Xenopus tropicalis: one gene and its partners. The protein of the gene in region 1 binds, or shares a complex with, the protein of each later gene. Links are inferred from orthologs where the notes say so. Each region holds a gene or a part of one and is shown in the gene's direction. Other genes may lie near its edges. The genes, in order: mfap1, smu1, ik, zmat2 and sf3b3.

Region 1 (2,898 bases):
CGTTCTCCCAGTTTCCAAGGTTACAAATTAAAGGGGCAGTATCTGTTTTTTTTTTGGGAGGGGGTAGTCTCCCCTGCTCCCCTGCATTTTATCTCAGCATCTTTGCTCTTATTTTCTTGTGACCCACCTGCATTATGCAGCTGCAGGCTGAAAAAAAAATATCTTTAATGTATTTGGGACATTTAAAATTATAGCAACTGTGATTTTCCATATATGAAATGGCTCTCTGCTTGATGTTAAATACCAAAGGGCTTACAGTATGTTGCTGTAACCATTTCAGGAAAGACAGAGTTACTGTGCAGGAAAAAGAAGCTGAGGCGCTTAAACAGAAGGAGCTGGAGGCAGAGACAAAACGAATGGCAGAGGAGAGAAGGAAATACACCTTGAAGGTAAGTATTTGTCTTGATGCAGTGGTAGTTTTGTTAGAACTTTCTGCTTCCTCACTGCAATATTTCATGTACAGATTGTAGAGGAGGAAACAAAGAAGGAGATTGAAGAGAATAAGCGATCCCTGGCAGCCCTTGATGCCCTCAACACAGATGATGAGAATGATGAAGAGGAATATGAAGCCTGGAAAGTAAGAGAGTTAAAGCGCATCAAGCGAGACCGAGAAGAAAGAGAGGCGTAAGTATTTCTATCCCGACTCTATGGATAAAGTCATACTGTACGGCTCATTTACTGCTTGCCATGGTTTCTTTACACTTTGGATAATACTGATAACTTTCACAGTTTACCTGGACTTGTGTGCCTAAAGTTAAATGTTATTTTGTTTATGTGTCATGTAACAGGATGGAGAAGGAAAAGGCAGAGGTTGATCGTCTGCGTAACATGACAGATGAGGAAAGACGGGCAGAGCTGCGTGCAAACGGCAAAATAATAACCAACAAGGCACTGAAGGGGAAATACAAATTTCTGCAAAAATATTACCACAGAGGTGCATTCTTCATGGTAAGAACTATTTAACTAATTTACCCATTCTATATTCATTCCTGTGGGATTTTTAAAAGAGTAAATGTTAGAATTCACCATTTGATAAATTTGCTTCTAAAAATCTGATATTATGGAAATTGGTGAATTTTTCTGTGGTGAGCTCGGTACTCTCACATTTTGATAAATTTTGATGAATTTTACAGAAGCTTATTTTACAGAAAGCTTTGTCTTTTTTTTCCCCCCATAGGATGGAGATGAAGATGTATATAAAAGGGATTTCAGTGCACCCACCTTGGAGGATCATTTTAATAAGACTATATTGCCCAAGGTCATGCAGGTAATTGCAAGAATGTTGCCGTTTCTTACTTTTTTTTGCTCTGCCTGAATTCTAAAGTATTAGATTGATTCCCTGTTTTACTGGGCCACACAAAAATGTGTATTATCACAGTATAGGAGGGATACTGGATGTGATTAGGAAGGTGGTAGTGAACAATGAAGAGTTAGCAAAGTCTAAAACTGCCAGCCATCAGTAACACTGTTATAAAATATATGCAGGAGGGAAAACATTATGCATTCACCCCTTAATGTTTCCATTACATAAATACAATGGAATATTTTTCCAAAAGCAAGAAACTGAAGTGTTTGTTTTCTAGTGATTCTATATATAAAGCAAACAAAATTGCTTGGGAGATGTTAGTCAACTGGAAATTATGGAGCAAAATGGTTATAAATATTAAACTGTCCTTTTTTGTCAAAATTTTCATTTCCAGTAGCTGTGAAATCCTCTGCTAGTCCCCACACAATAGCCCAATATATCTTAAACATGTCCTTAATTTGCACTGGCTACAATTTACTTATGCCATTTATGTTGGGTTCATAGCATGGAAGATTTTAATCTGTGGTTTTCCAATCCAGTTCATAAATTGATATCATCTGTTTTATTCAGGTCAAGAATTTTGGACGTTCAGGTCGGACAAAATATACTCACTTGGTTGATCAGGACACCACTTCATTTGACTCTGCTTGGGGTCAGGACAATCCACAGAACACAAAGTTCTTCAAACAGAAGGCAGCAGGAGTAAGGGATGTGTTTGAGAGGCCGACTGTGCAGAAAAGAAAGACATAAATGTCCGTGTCTATGAGGGACTTGTCCATATTTTCTGGGTTATAAAAAGAACTGCAGCTCATAAACAAGGACCACCATTACTTGCACATACTCTGTATATATAATTTGCAAGTAATGTAATGTTTTTTTTTTTAATGTGTGAATGAATTGTTGGGTTTGTCATTAGCAAATCACAAAGCATTCTCCAAGCTGTGGAGAAACAGAGATTTTCACAGTTTTTTCAAAAATGTTATAAAAGGTATTTTTTAGTTAGAATCATTTTGACATTCAGGAACACTGAAACCGAGGCAAGATTTGATAATATTTGTAAATAAAAAAGTTACTCTGTCATATCTCCTAACGATTTTTGTATGCCCCTCTATCAATCCTGTGAAATAATTGTTTTGCTTGTACAGTAATGAAAGCCACTGGTCCATTTTCTCATGTCCAGCATTCAGCATCTTGTGTGGATTGGTCTGATGTACAGGTATCTGTCTATGCAAGACCTTTTATTGTCCCACATGCTATCTGCTGACTGGAAAGTAAGCACAGTACAAGTGACAAAGAGTTGCCTGGGTACGTAGTTTTATAATGAAAAGTGAATTTGGGTTGGCTTCATGCATTATAGTTACATGGTCAGTCATATACAGATCTGCTGTTAAACTTTTTGGGGCAAAATATCTGAAATTTTGAAAATCTTTCCACCCAGGCATATAGTCAATAATATTATTATTTATTTTTAACATTTATTTAAAACACGCCAACATATTCTGCAGTGCTGTACAATAAGTGGGTTTCATACATTGGACACACAGAGTAACATATAAAGCAATCATGAGTCCCTGTCTCAGTGTAGATTACAG
Region 2 (3,522 bases), on another chromosome or scaffold:
ACACTGTGGATAGTATTGAGAGCTTTGTGGCTGACATCAATAGTGGCCATTGGGATACTGTACTTCAAGCTATTCAGTCACTGAAACTGCCAGACAAGACTCTCATCGACCTCTATGAACAGGTATCGGGAAAATCACATTGTGTGTGTGTGTGTGTATATATATATATAAATATTATACGCACTCACGGCAGTCGTGTAAAAAAAAAAAAAAAAAAAGCAGTTACAAATTTTTAAATCTTTATTCCTCAACATTGAGTGTGGAGTGATAAAGATTTGTAACTACTTTTTCTACACATGGCTGCTGTGAGTTCTTTCTACCGTATTTTTTTTCTAGGAATAGCACCTGGCGTGTTATCAAATTGGTGAGTATTGATATGGAAAATTATATACATTTTTTTTTTTTTATTGATTGCTTTAATTGCAGAGCAGTCTCACCACAGGTATCCAGTTTTTATACTGGGAAACATGTCTGTGGTACTTATTGCTTTGCTGATATCAAAAAATAAGGCAGTTTTTAGTGATATCCACTTAACAGCACAGATAAATAAATTCGCTTATGTGGACAGATAATTCTGACTCTCTGCCAGCACTAAGTCCAAAGTGGTAATTTTTTTGCTGTATCATTATATTTACACTGGTACTTTTTGATGCTGCATTATAATTGAGCAAAGGGGCATCCCTACGATGCCCCACTGTTGGAATAAAGCGTGACTGCGCTTGGAACTGTTAGTAAAACATCCTTAATCTTGAGAGTTTTATTGTATAAATCAGTGTTTGTTAATATGTGGATATCTTCATCACTTGTGTCTAAACATCAACCAAAAAAAATAATTATAAAGAACTCATAATTCTAACATTCCAATTTATTAAACAATTTAAGTGCTTTGTAATTGCTATTGGAAGCAGCATTTGTTTAAAGGACATAGGGTGTAATAAAAGAAAACATAGTTCTAAGCATCTTTGAAATATACAGTGGTGTGAAAAACTATTTGCCCCCTTCCTGATTTCTTATTCTTTTGCATGTTTGTCACACTTAAATGTTTCTGCTCATCAAAAACCGTTAACTATTAGTCAAAGATAACATAATTGAACACAAAATGCAGTTTTTAAATGAAGGTTTACGTTCTTAAGGGAGAAAAAAACTCCAAATCTACATGGCCCTGCGTGAAAAAGTGATTGCCCCCCTTGTTAAAAAATAACTTAACTGTGGTTTATCAATTTCAATTTTCAATTTCAATATCAATTTCTGTAGTCACCCCCAGGCCTGATTACTGCCACACCTGTTTCAATCAAGAAATCATTTAAATAGGAGCTACCTGACACAGAGAAGTAGACCAAAAGCACCTCAAAAGCTAGACATCATGCCAAGATCCAAAGAAATTCAGGAACAAATGAGAACAAAAGTAATTGAGATCTATCAGTCTGGTAAAGGTTATAAAGCCATTTCTAAAGCTTTGGGACTCCAGCGAACCACAGTGAGAGCCATTATCCACAAATGGCAAAAACATGGAACAGTGGTGAACCTTCCCAGGAGTGGCCGGCCGACCAAAATTACCCCAAGAGCGCAGAGACAACTCATCCGAGAGGCCACAAAAGACCCCAGGACAACATCTAAAGAACTGCAGGCCTCACTTGCCTCAATTAAAGTCAGTGTTCACGACTCTACCATAAGAAAGAGACTGGGCAAAAACAGCCTGCATGGCAGATTTCCAAGGCGCAAACCACTTTTAAGCAAAAAGAACATTATGGCTCGTCTCAATTTTGCTAAAAAACATCTCAATGATTGCCAAGACTTTTGAGAAAATACCTTGTGGACCGACGAGACAAAAGTTGAACTTTTTGGAAGGTGCATGTCCCGTTACATCTGGCGTAAAAGTAACACAGCATTTCAGAAAAAGAACATCATACCAACAGTAAAATATGGTGGTGGTAGTGTGATGGTCTGGGGTTGTTTTGCTGCTTCAGGACCTGGAAGCCTTGCTGTGATAGATGGAACCATGAATTCTACTGTCTACCAAAAAATCCTGAAGGAGAATGTCCGGCCATCTGTTCGTCAACTCAAGCTGAAGCGATCTTGGGTGCTGCAGCAGGACAATGACCCAAAACACACCCGCAAATCCACCTCTGAGTGGCTGAAGAAAAACAAAATGAAGACTTTGGAGTGGCCTAGTCAAAGTCCTGACCTGAATCCTATTGAGATGTTGTGGCATGACCTTAAAAAGGTGGTTCATGCTAGAAAACCCTCAAATAAAGCTGAATTACAACAATTCTGCAAAGATGAGTGGGCCAAAATTCCTCCAGAGCGCTGTAAAAGACTCATTGCAAGTTATCGCAAACGCTTGATTGCAGATATTACTGCTAAGGGTGGCCCAACCAGTTATTAGGTTCAGGGGGCAATTACTTTTTCACACAGGGCCATGTAGGTTTGGATTTTTTTTCCTCCCTAAATAATAAAAACCCTCATTTAAAAACTGCATTTTGTGTTTACTTGTGTTATCTTTGACTAATAGTTAAATGTGTTTGATGATCAGAAACATTTTGTGTGACAAACATGCAAAAGAATAAGAAATCAGGAAGGGGGCAAATAGTTTTTCACACCACTGTACATTCATTACACATTTGTAATGGTTTTTAAGTAATTTGTATAAATTACTGCAATTAAAAGCAGTGTTTGTCTGTCCTTTTCTATTTTCTGCCCTGGTGTCTCTGACTGTTGAAACAACGTGAAACAAGCCAGCTGGAGAAGACTGGCTTTTGCAACATTGTTTAAAAACTCATAACCGGGAGTTAAAGGACATGTAAACCCCCCACACAAAAAAAAAATATTCAGTGAACAGCCTCTTTGAAATCTATAAATACCTGCCACTCCTGTTGTTCAAAGGTTAATAGTAAGGCTGCAGCTTTATATTAATCACTTGGGATTCCTTCTCCTCCTCTTAATTGCTCGGCCCCTTCCATTAGGAATTGACTTTCGTTAACTCAGCATGCACAGTTCTATCAACTCAGATTATAAACACACCCTCAAGTCTAGAAGCGAAATAAGAGATCCACTGCTGGTTTCTATAGAAGCATGTTTTTTCTCCTAACCTCCTCCTCTTCAGCTCATCTAAATAGTGTTTTCTCCTATAAGTAACCTGTTGAATGTAGAAAACAAAAGTGCTGAAATATAGCTGAATTAAGTGACTTCCATATTGTTATTGTGTCCTTTTTTGGCATATTTGAACAAAATGAATGCATACTGCTAACAATGCTGTATAATTATGATATTTGCATAATGATTGATTTTGTTTTTTATAGGTTGTATTAGAACTAATTGAACTTCGTGAGCTGGGAGCTGCTAGATCCCTCCTGAGGCAAACAGACCCTATGATAATGTTAAAACAGAACCAACCAGAAAGATACATTCATCTTGAGAACTTACTGGCCAGATCATATTTTGACCCACGAGAGGTATGTATTTTTGATTCATAATCCACAGTCCTAACATTTTAACAGTGATTAGGACATCACTGCAGTTTTC
Region 3 (3,522 bases), about 85 Mb from region 1:
TCTGTTTGAAATTGTGAGTTTGAGGACCATTGTGATCACCTTTACCAGTCCAGGTTGCCATGCTGTGGGGTTGAGGTTGCACAGTTGCAGGATACTGAAAAAGGTTGGGGTTGGAAATTGCCATCTGAACATTCTTGTGAATATGGATATTGAGACAAAATGAGGCCCTGTAAGGATTGGTACTTAGAACTAGGGATTGTATCCATTAAGAAAGTAATACAGTGGTTTAGCACCTACATTCGTTAAAGTGCATTTGCCACTTGGAACCAGTTAGCAATTAGCTTATAAAAGTCTGCTACAAGCTGGAAAATGAAAGGAAAGACTTGACTGGTTCTGTTGGCAGCTGCACTTGTGCAGTTTTGCAGCTATATGTATTATAATGTGAGATTCATGCAAACCCTGTGTTTTCGCATTTTCCAGAACAGGTAGTTGAGATGTTATGTTTTTGGCATTTGAAAAACTGTACCATTTTATTGTTTATTTCCATAAAGCTATCAAATAAAATTTAAATTGAATTCTGATGTTTCCTTGATGTGGAAATATCGGTGCTGTTCCAGGAGCGTGCCCTCAGCTTTATGGGAGGCGGCATATATTTATTAGTGTAAAGTTGCCTAAAAGAGTGTATTGGCTGTGCTATGTATGTATGTATAACTTTATTTATAAAGTGCCACAAGGGTACGCAGCGCTGTACAATCTTGCAGAATACAAAATTGCACACAGGGAGGACAAGTGATAAAGTGATATAATAAATAAATACAATATATATATATATATATAAATACAATATATATATATATATATATATATATATATATATATATATATATATATATATATATATATATATATATATATATATATATATATATATATATATATATAATATATAATATATAGCAAATGGAAATTGAGAGAGGCTGCGGCAGCAGCCGAAACGTTAGATGTTGATTTAATAAACACCTTATGCTTTACATAAGACCTGTGAGTGCGGGACATTTCCATTTGCTATTATTCCTAAACTTTTGGGGACTGCACCCAGGCATGGCTATTGCTCTATGACTTGAGTGCCTGTCTACAAGCAGAATATATATATATATATATTAATATAATATATATAGAATAATATATATAAGACAAAAAAGTGTCAGCACTCACAGGATTTAAAATATTTGAAAAAAAGATACATTTTATTACAAAATATGAAAAAGGAACATTACAGACCTCAACGTTTCAGTCCCCCACAGGGACTTTTGTCAGGAGGCAGAGAAAAGACAGTACAAACATCTCTAACTCTCATGACCTTTAAATTTACTCACATTTACTCTGTATACAGCTGCCTACCAACCCCCACCAAGCCCCAATTGTAACTCTTAGACAATATGCAGGAATGTTTTAAAAGCAATTAGATCAAGATTATAGTCATATGATGAATATATCATTAGAAATGCCCCATACAACAGTAAGGGAAGCCATTAATATTTGTACAGTGCCACTGGGACCCCACGTGGGGAAATGTACCCTCTGTGCAGCTGTATGTGTGAGTTGTAGTTCCACAATAGATTAGTCATGCAGTTTATATATATATATATTATATATATATATAATATATATTATAGAAAATAATCATCCGTGGCCAGCACACCCTTCAATGTTTTATCAAAAATTTATTGAAAATATATACATCTAAGTGCTATCCCTCCAACCACAGATATTACCATCTGCATCTTTCGTATCCCAACATAGTCACAAAACAGATCACAATTGTGATTTTGGGAGGTATTCTCTTACATAACATATATGTGACGTCTCTCAATTATAGCTTGTTTTTGCGGTTACAGCCTGATTTATTTGTATGACAATCTTCACTTTAGGGTAACAAAAAGGGCCCCTTAGGCCGATGGGACTTTGATACACAGGAAGAATACAGCGAGTATATGAACAACAAAGAAGCATTACCCAAGTGAGTTGTATTTTGATTGCATGCCTAAGAAATGCTCTGTTTATAAGGATTATATTAGAATGCATAGTAGTATTTGGTTTATTTCTTTATTTTATTTCAGCAAAGCCTGTTGTAGGTTACTCACAGGAAGACTTATCTCTATGTTTGTGATTTGTACACCTTTAGAACCATTTAGTTATTATATTGAATATTAATATATTCATATGTTTTAAAACATCACCAAACTAACAAATGTTCAATTTGGCCACACAAGTGCTGGGACATAGTTGATAGAATTCTTTGGCCCCTGGGTTAACATTCAGATCCTAACACAGGCCTGTGCAGATGTGACCTACTAGTTTTTAAAGCCTAACCCCTGATACAGGTATTGGGCCTGTTATACAGAATGCTTGGTACCTGGGGTTTTCCAGGGGGGGTCTTTCCATAATTTGGATCTCCAGACCTCAAGTCTACTAAATAATAATTTAAACATTAAAAAACCCAATAGAATTGTTTTGCCACCAGCAAGGATTAATTATGTCTTAGTTGGGATCAAGTAGCTGTACTCAGTGAAGTTTAGGATGTTACTATTATTATGCACACGTACGATGTGCATAAAAACCCTGCATGTAAAGAATTGTGAAACCTTTCCCTTGTCCATTCTGTACGCAGTCATTTTATAGTATGAGTGTTTCTTTCTTTACAGGGCTGCTTTCCAGTACGGCATTAAAATGTCCGAAGGGCGTAAAACACGGCGCTTCAAAGAGACTAACGAGAAGGCCGAGCTGGACAGACAGTGGAAAAAAATTAGTGCAGTAAGTGTCAGACGTCTTTCTGTTTTTAATTTCCAGTCTCTTCTTCCATTTGTAATTATTGTATTCCCCAGTGGGGCATTCATTCCTCTTGTGTGTAAGGGATACAAAGTATTGGGCCAAACTTCTTGCTGACCTGGTGGTTAGTTGTCCTGCCTTGTGACTATTGGTTAGTTTGGCTTCTCTGATAGGTCTAATTGCCATCTTGGAGCAAGGAAGGGATTTTTCTCCCTCAGAAGATTATTTCTCTCAATCAACTAGCAGTCAGGCAAGTTTCTGACAAAAAGGTTGAACTCGATGGGTGTGTGTCTTTTTCCAGCCTATGTTACTATGTATTCAGCCAAAGAGATAAAGTTTATAGAGACTCAAGCTCAGTTTTTGAAATGATGGATGTAAGGGGATTCTGTTTCTCTGACTACAGGAAAGTGTCACTATGCCTACTTAAACCATATTGAAGATCAATTAAAAAGTTGCTTAGAATTTTCCATTCCATAACAAACTAAAAGTTAGCATAAAGGTGAACCACCCCTTTAACACAGTTTTAATGTAAAAAAATAATTTTCTTTTAACCTGTTTTAACTTATTATATGTTTAATGAAACAATCCCTTTGTACTGTAAGCTAATATGGGTGATATTGAAGTACCAGATATCTAATAACTACTGTTTTTACTTTCCAGATTATTGAAAAACGGAAGAAACTTGAGGCGGATGGGTAAGAAAAGCATAATTATATCTGTGGCCATCTTGTTGTATTTGCTTCTGGGTTTGTG
Region 4 (3,522 bases), about 81 Mb from region 1:
CCTGTAAATGTATGCACCTGGCCTTATCTGCCTGGCCCTTAGCGGTAAATACTTAAAGGGGTTGTTCACCTTTTTAGAATGTAGTAGAGAGTGCTACTCTGAAACAATCTGCATCTGGTCTTCATTTTTTATTTGTAGTTTTTGTAATTATTTAGCTTTATATCCAGCAACTCTCCAGTTTCAAATTCTAGCAGCTATATGGTTTCTAGGGTCCAAATAACCCTAGAAACCAGGCAGTTGTTCAAATGAGAAGCTGGGATACAAATAGGAGAGGGTCTGGATAGAAAGGTATGTAATAAAAAGTAACGCTAACCGTGAAACTAGCCTCAAAGAGCAATATTTTTTTGGCTGCTGGGCTAAGTGACCCCCATTTAAAAGCTATAAAGGGTCAGAAGAGGAAAGCAAATATTAAAAAAAAAATGAAGACCAAATGAAACGTCGCTGAAACTGTATCATACATACTAAAAGTTAACTTAAAATCCATCAGAGAAAAAGGGATTTAATTGGTGTCATATAAATTATCATGTCAGCAGTGCTAAGATTTGTAGTTTAACAAGGGCTTCAGGTTGTATATCCCTGGTATTCCGACGTCCTTTTAATCTTTGATAAACATAAGCATCTGTTTGCTATAATGGGTACTTAACCACAAGCAGTTAGGATCCATTTAGAGCTGTACTACTATGCTTTGCATTTTATTGGTCTCCAGGAGATCATTTGATTTCATAAAATGTCTAGCCTATCAAAGCTTTGACCGCAAAAAAAGCCTATAAGGCCTATGACAGATGGGGTGCTTTACTGTCTGAGAAATCTCTTCTCCTGAAGTGCCTGAAAATACCTGCCCCTCTGCAACTTGAATTGCCAGGTATTTTTGGGAGCTTTGTTACCTGTGGAGAGAAGATTTCCTGCAGGCGATTATTTGCCTTATCTGTCCGTGCTCTAAGGAAAATTTAAAGCAAAACAACAAGTATTGTATGAGTGGCAGTCTTGTACATGGCAGTGCCCACGGCCTGCAGAGAGAAGACATACAGTATTAAATCAAACAGCTCTGAACTGAATTTCCACACAATAAATAGAATACCAATAAGATAAAATAGGGCTGGCTCGGATCTTTGCACATGATTCTTAACAGGTTAATAGCTCAATGGATTTGTGTAGAAAATAAGCAAATTTCATTTATGCAGTGTAAATTATCCACATCAATAAATGCACATATATTGTGTTCTAGGCAAACCTTTACAGCCCATTAAGAGGGAATTACTCCGACACAGAGACTATAAGGTGGATCTGGAGTCCAAGCTGGGAAAGACCATTGTCATTACAAAGACCACTCCACAGTCTGAAATGGGAGGGTAAGTAGCATATAATGTGCTAAGGACAATGTTGACTCAACTATAAATGTAATCACCATTTAAAAGTTGAGGTACAACCAGGTTATGTCTCATTTGTGGTGATGGAGAGTTGGAGTCAACAAATGCACCAGTTTATAGAGCTACTCATGCGCACTCCTATACCTATGCTTGTGCTTTAATAAACTTTCAGTTTCTTTTTACTGATGCAATGTGAGTTGGAATGATATTATATTATACCCCCCCCCAGCAGCATATCAACAAGTGATGTGAGGCTAGACATGTTTTTACTTTCCCTAGTGCCCCCTTGTGATTTGTGCTCTGATGATGAACTTCAGTCACTCTTTAGGGTAAGAACACATGGAGCGAGTTCGTCTTCCATGATAGATCTCTGCTAACATCGGCAACTAACCACTCCGAAAAGGCTTTCCGCCAGCTGAAAGCCCTTTGCATTGCTTTGGTAATCCGAAGTTGCACTAAGTTTCCTCCTGCAGGCGACTTCGAAAAACAAAGCAATGCAAAGGGCTTTCCAGCAGCAACAATAGAAGTTGCTGGTGGAAAGCCTTTTCTGAGTTAGTTAGTCGCCCTAGATAGCAGCGATTTATTGCGGACGATTAACCGTGGGTTCTTACCGTTACTGCTGCTACTGATGCATAAGTAGAAGTGCCATAAAGGTGGACTTTCACTGCTCCATTTTTGTTACTCTGTGTGCTTTTTATTTAATATTATGTGTTTTAGCTGTGTTGGCCACTGGTATGCCAAGTACCCTGTGTATGGCCTAAATAAATGGGAAATATTACTTGCTTCACCTAAGGCGTTCTCCGTAGACACAGAGAGCTACAATATCTATGAGTGTGTATGTTGCTCTGTTCATCTGAAATCTGGTACATTGCTTAAAAGAATACCCAATTGTAAATGTCTCACACCAATATTTAATCAAAGCAAAGCTCTTATGGCTATGTGACCACTACTACACATTTTGGTACACTTCTTATACCCACAGGTCAATAAGGCAAAACCTCAGAAATCTTTATCAGCGATATCTCCTGTATCAATAATTCTCAAAGAAACAAGAAGATAGGTAGAAGAAGATAGATAGGGCTGCACAAAGTAAGAGCAACATAGACTACACTTGTTAGGTAATGTGGTCACATCAGTATTCTCATGTCGGATACCTTCTCTGTGGTGCCTCAGACCCTTATAATTCTCTGGTACAATGGAATCCACTTTTTCTCTCTTGGGGTGGGTAGGGGGAAACAACTGAGAAGGTGTCTGTGCTGTGAGAGTATTGGTGTTCTCTCTTTCAGTTTACTTAACAATGTACTGTTGTTATGGCATGGAAATTACTATTAATTTGTGGTGCTCTAACCATGCACTGCCTCCTGCTCTTGCTCCTTAGAGATTTATTAGTATGCAAAAAACTGCTATGGGAGGAAGTGAGGAGGAGTGCCCCTTGCATTGTTGTACGGTGGATATTCTGCAGATTTTTAAGAATTTTGCTGTAAGAACTGCACTAAAAGTGCAGTAAATGGTAATAGAACATTCTATGCTCGTTAATCTAAGTACCACTTACTATCTACAGAAGTAAATACATGGGAAAGAACTGATAATCGGAAAAAATCCCTTTTATGGATCTCGCTGCACATTGTGAAATCGTCTGGGCTTATCCCTTTATATAGAAATTGCCTTATATTGAAGATCCCATAAATGAACAGCAATGTATGTGCTATAAAACCAATGTAATGGCTTGTTCCATGACATTTCTGTTGATTTATGGGCCTCTGTTGGACAGCCGTTATAGATTGATTGTTTATTATGTACCGTATCATTAAATATCGATTGTGTCAGCCACAGAGTTTTGACAAGCCTTATGCAGGCTTGTGCTCAATAATTTGCATTCCTCTAGTAAAATCCTTTTAAATGACTCTAAAATGGAAATAAATAGAAATCGGAAGCTTAAGCTTGTTAAGTCCGTAAACCCTTGCATTGGAGAGCCCCAATTTTAGTCATGGCCTCTAGAATACAATAAAATTTTTGTTTGTGTAGAATGTGGATTAGACTGCTCAAGGCTTGTGTGCGCTGCATAGTTGGTCTTTAAAACCTGGTGCTTGACTCTACAGTTGACTCCATTACAGTGCATATATTTAAAAAAAATTTAGAGCAACAACTCTGGTTC
Region 5 (3,522 bases), on another chromosome or scaffold:
AGTGTTTAAAGGAAAACTATACCCCCAGATTGAATATTTAACCAGTTTGTGCGCTCTGTGAATCCTATGATCCCAGGAGGCGGCCCTTAATTGTTAAAATTGCAGTTTTCTATTTAGGAGTACCACATACAACTTCTCTGTAGCTTCATTTGCACTGTTAAATGCATTGTATTATAACTATCTCTTTGAAAAAGACGAGAATTCTGCTGAATAATCAATAACCATATTGTATGAATAAGCTTAATTTTATACTACTGTCATTTTAGTTGGCTTACAACAAAACCCTATTTATATTTAGTAAAAGATAAACTTTGTATCTCTCTTTGATATTCAGCTATACCATTTGCTTGTAATCAATGATAAAAACTATTTGAAACTCAAGAAAAATAATCCTTTTTACCTTTGCACTTTGTCCGGGTACCACACACAACCAGTTTTTATCTATGTACTCCCAATCCCAGAGAAGCTTTTGAGAGCCTTGGGTTGTGGTACTGTTTGAGGGGGTCATGCTGTTTTACATCATCAGAGCACAGAAACACATTAATAAAGATGGTTAAATATTAAGTAGATTTATCATCTGTCTCGTCTATCATCCTCTTTACTTTTGGTGAAAAATAGAGGATTTATCTGTAATAGTGTTTTTTTTTTTTTTTTTTTTTTTTGCTTTTTTTTTATATAGCACATTTCAAACTTTATTGTGGGAATTCAAACTATTGGGCAGCGTGTCATATTGTCTGATGTGCAGGAGAGTTTCATATGGGTTCGTTACAAGCGCAATGAAAACCAGCTGATCATATTTGCGGATGACACATACCCACGCTGGGTCACAACTTCCTGCCTCCTGGACTATGATACAGTAGCTGGAGCAGACAAGTTTGGAAATATCTGCATAGTAAGTTTCAGTAATACCCTGATTCTGATCCCTTTTATTGACCTGTTAATCTTTCTTTCATGTACAAAATGCTTTATCACCAAAAAGGCAGTATTTTAGTAAATGTATGGGATCACTTATCTGAAAAACTGTTCAAATTACGAAATTCCAGTTTTGAATTACGGAAAGGCCACCTCTCATAGACTCCATTATAAGCAAATAATTCTAGTTTTTAAAAATTGTTTCCTTTTTCTCTGCAATAATAAAACAGAACCTTGTACTTGGTCCCAACTAAGTAAAAACAAGCCTATTGGGTTTATTCAATATTTAAATGAATTTTAGCAGACTTAAGTTATAGAGATATAAAATTTACGGAAAGTTCCCTTATCCAGAATGCTCGGGACCCAGGGTATTCCAGATAACCGGGTCCCATACCTGTAACTGCAAATATTAGAGGACCGTAACATTTTAATCAATCATGATTTTAATTACACTGCCATCACCTGGGTATGGTTCTAATGCAACTGTCATTCTCTATGTAAAGCAAATTGCAGTTTTCTAGAAGTTAAAAAAAACATGTCAAAGTGTCTAAACCTTTTGTCAGATGGGACCCAGCTTATGTCTGAGCTATTGGTTCACTGCACAAAATGCCCTTCTAGGGGAATCATTGTGGAAAATTTTGTATAAGCTCAAGTTCATGGAAATAGAATTATTTATACAGTAATTATATGTTCTGTCCTTTTTCTAAAATCAGGTTTCCTTTTGCCATCCCCCTCTCAGCATCTGTCTCTACCTGGGACGGACTTGTTTGGCTCAAATACTTTGTCTACTCTAGGCAAAAGGAGCACACACCAATTTATTTGACTGAACTGTCGATCACAATTGTGCTCCTGCTTTTATAGAGAAAGATTGAAGGGATACTGGAGAGTAACTTGATATTTGATAAACTCATGTTTTTAATTGATTATATTTAAACCGTTTCTTACTTAAATGAGATGCAGCTTAGAGCTGGGCGGTATGACCAAAAATTTATATCACGGTATTTTTCAAAATTATATCGGTATCACGGTATTTGACGGTATATAAATAAAAAATAAATAATAAATATTGGTGGGCCCCCCAACCCCCCCCCACAACTCCAACCACAACCCCCCCACAACTCCAACCACAACTCCAACCACAACCCCCCAGCAGAACTTACCCAACTTGTGGTTCCTCCAGCAATGCGTCCTAGCGACGTCGCGTGCGCGCTGACGTCACATGCGCACGGGCGCAACCCGGATATAATTGAAGAAAAATAGCAGGAGGCGCGCATACCGGTGTAGCGGTATGTTTAAAAACCATATCGTTTTTTTTAAAAAAAACCGGTATACCGGTTAAACCGGTATACCGCCCAGCACTAATGCAGCTCATATTAGTTTCATTTTTTCAATAGTTCCCCTTTAATCTGAACATTTTTTTTGTTAGTATTAAATGTAATAGTATAGTTGTAGATGAAAATGTCGCTGTATAAAATAGTATATTGTTAACCCACTCTAAAGGGCATGGTGACTCTTGGGGTCCTGCTTCTATGTAACCAAGAATCATAAAATATATATTGATGTTTTATATAATTTATAATTTTTATAATACATCAGTAAGCTGTAGCTTGTTTTGCATACTTCTAGTTACAAAATTCCTCTGTAAATCTAACATTTGTGCTGTGTATATGTAAATGTATTGTTGCTCAGTTGCCACAGTTGCTTTATTTACACCAAAAGCTTGGTTGTCTAAAATTGCTGACTCTCCTTAGGTTCGATTACCTTCCAATACTAATGATGATGTTGATGAGGATCCTACTGGTAACAAAGCATTATGGGACAGAGGTCTTCTGAATGGAGCATCTCAGAAGGTAAGTTTCTGAAAGTGTAAAAGTCTTTGCTTCTGTTTTCATTAGACTCCTATTTATCATTGCTCTTTGTTTCAGGCTGAAGTAATTGTAAATTACCATGTTGGAGAGACTGTTCTTTCAGTACAGAAGACTACACTAATCCCAGGAGGCTCAGAATCCCTGGTGTACACTACCTTATCAGGAGGCATTGGTATCCTTGTACCATTCACATCACATGAGGTAACTGTATATTTCTTTGCATGTTAGAGAAAAATATCATAATATTGGCTTGCACCACTGCCACACAGACTGCTAACCAGACAATAAGTACAAAGGATATGACTGCCAACTGTAGTCATATTACGTGTATTTCATTTTCATCCAGACCTATGTGCATTTTGCTTTGACTCCTGACCCATTCCTGAAAGTTTTTCATATATGTGGCAGGAATTCTACATGCACACTCAGGATCAGTTCATTACCGTTTATCTGAAATCAGGTCCGTTTACATTGTTAATCCTGCTTACTGAAGATAGCGTTTTCAGATTAGTTATGGGAGTAGAAGAGGTGCAGAGTAAAGAAAAAAAAAACAAAACACTTTTCTAAATATGAATAAATGAAATGCAATCTCTGAGTTGGAGGAGGCAGAGGCAAAATATTATTAAATTATTTTAATATTTGTACTGTTCATATTTACTTAGAGCTCTATCTTCTCATTAGCCCTTCCTGTTTTGTTAAGCATGCATGCAAGCAATCGGTACAGGTATGGACTCATTATCCA

The links.
Region 2: mfap1 (region 1) and smu1 share a complex: the UniProt entries of both Homo sapiens proteins name them as parts of the spliceosome B complex. The link is inferred for Xenopus tropicalis from reciprocal best matches to the Homo sapiens genes MFAP1 and SMU1.
Region 3: mfap1 (region 1) and ik share a complex: the UniProt entries of both Homo sapiens proteins name them as parts of the spliceosome B complex. The link is inferred for Xenopus tropicalis from reciprocal best matches to the Homo sapiens genes MFAP1 and IK.
Region 4: mfap1 (region 1) and zmat2 share a complex: the UniProt entries of both Homo sapiens proteins name them as parts of the spliceosome B complex. The link is inferred for Xenopus tropicalis from reciprocal best matches to the Homo sapiens genes MFAP1 and ZMAT2.
Region 5: mfap1 (region 1) and sf3b3 share a complex: the UniProt entries of both Homo sapiens proteins name them as parts of the spliceosome B complex. The link is inferred for Xenopus tropicalis from reciprocal best matches to the Homo sapiens genes MFAP1 and SF3B3.

What each region holds. Positions count from the first base shown.
Region 1 is NC_030679.2:107,681,143-107,684,040, reverse strand, and holds the end of mfap1 (microfibrillar-associated protein 1), read left to right. Parts: intron 1-280; coding exon 281-389; intron 390-463; coding exon 464-624; intron 625-788; coding exon 789-948; intron 949-1,177; coding exon 1,178-1,267; intron 1,268-1,876; coding exon 1,877-2,056; 3' UTR 2,057-2,386; downstream 2,387-2,898. UniProt on the Homo sapiens protein: Involved in pre-mRNA splicing as a component of the spliceosome.
Region 2 is NC_030677.2:94,423,665-94,427,186, forward strand, and holds part of smu1 (WD40 repeat-containing protein SMU1), read left to right. Parts: coding exon 1-122; intron 123-3,299; coding exon 3,300-3,452; intron 3,453-3,522. UniProt on the Homo sapiens protein: Involved in pre-mRNA splicing as a component of the spliceosome. Regulates alternative splicing of the HSPG2 pre-mRNA. Required for normal accumulation of IK.
Region 3 is NC_030679.2:22,991,307-22,994,828, forward strand, and holds part of ik (protein Red), read left to right. Parts: intron 1-1,871; coding exon 1,872-1,960; intron 1,961-2,645; coding exon 2,646-2,754; intron 2,755-3,429; coding exon 3,430-3,464; intron 3,465-3,522. UniProt on the Homo sapiens protein: Involved in pre-mRNA splicing as a component of the spliceosome. Auxiliary spliceosomal protein that regulates selection of alternative splice sites in a small set of target pre-mRNA species. Required for normal mitotic cell cycle progression.
Region 4 is NC_030679.2:26,873,145-26,876,666, forward strand, and holds part of zmat2 (zinc finger matrin-type protein 2), read left to right. Parts: intron 1-1,225; coding exon 1,226-1,349; intron 1,350-3,522. UniProt on the Homo sapiens protein: Involved in pre-mRNA splicing as a component of the spliceosome.
Region 5 is NC_030680.2:75,062,904-75,066,425, forward strand, and holds part of sf3b3 (splicing factor 3B subunit 3), read left to right. Parts: intron 1-679; coding exon 680-892; intron 893-2,663; coding exon 2,664-2,762; intron 2,763-2,837; coding exon 2,838-2,981; intron 2,982-3,522. UniProt on the Homo sapiens protein: Component of the 17S U2 SnRNP complex of the spliceosome, a large ribonucleoprotein complex that removes introns from transcribed pre-mRNAs.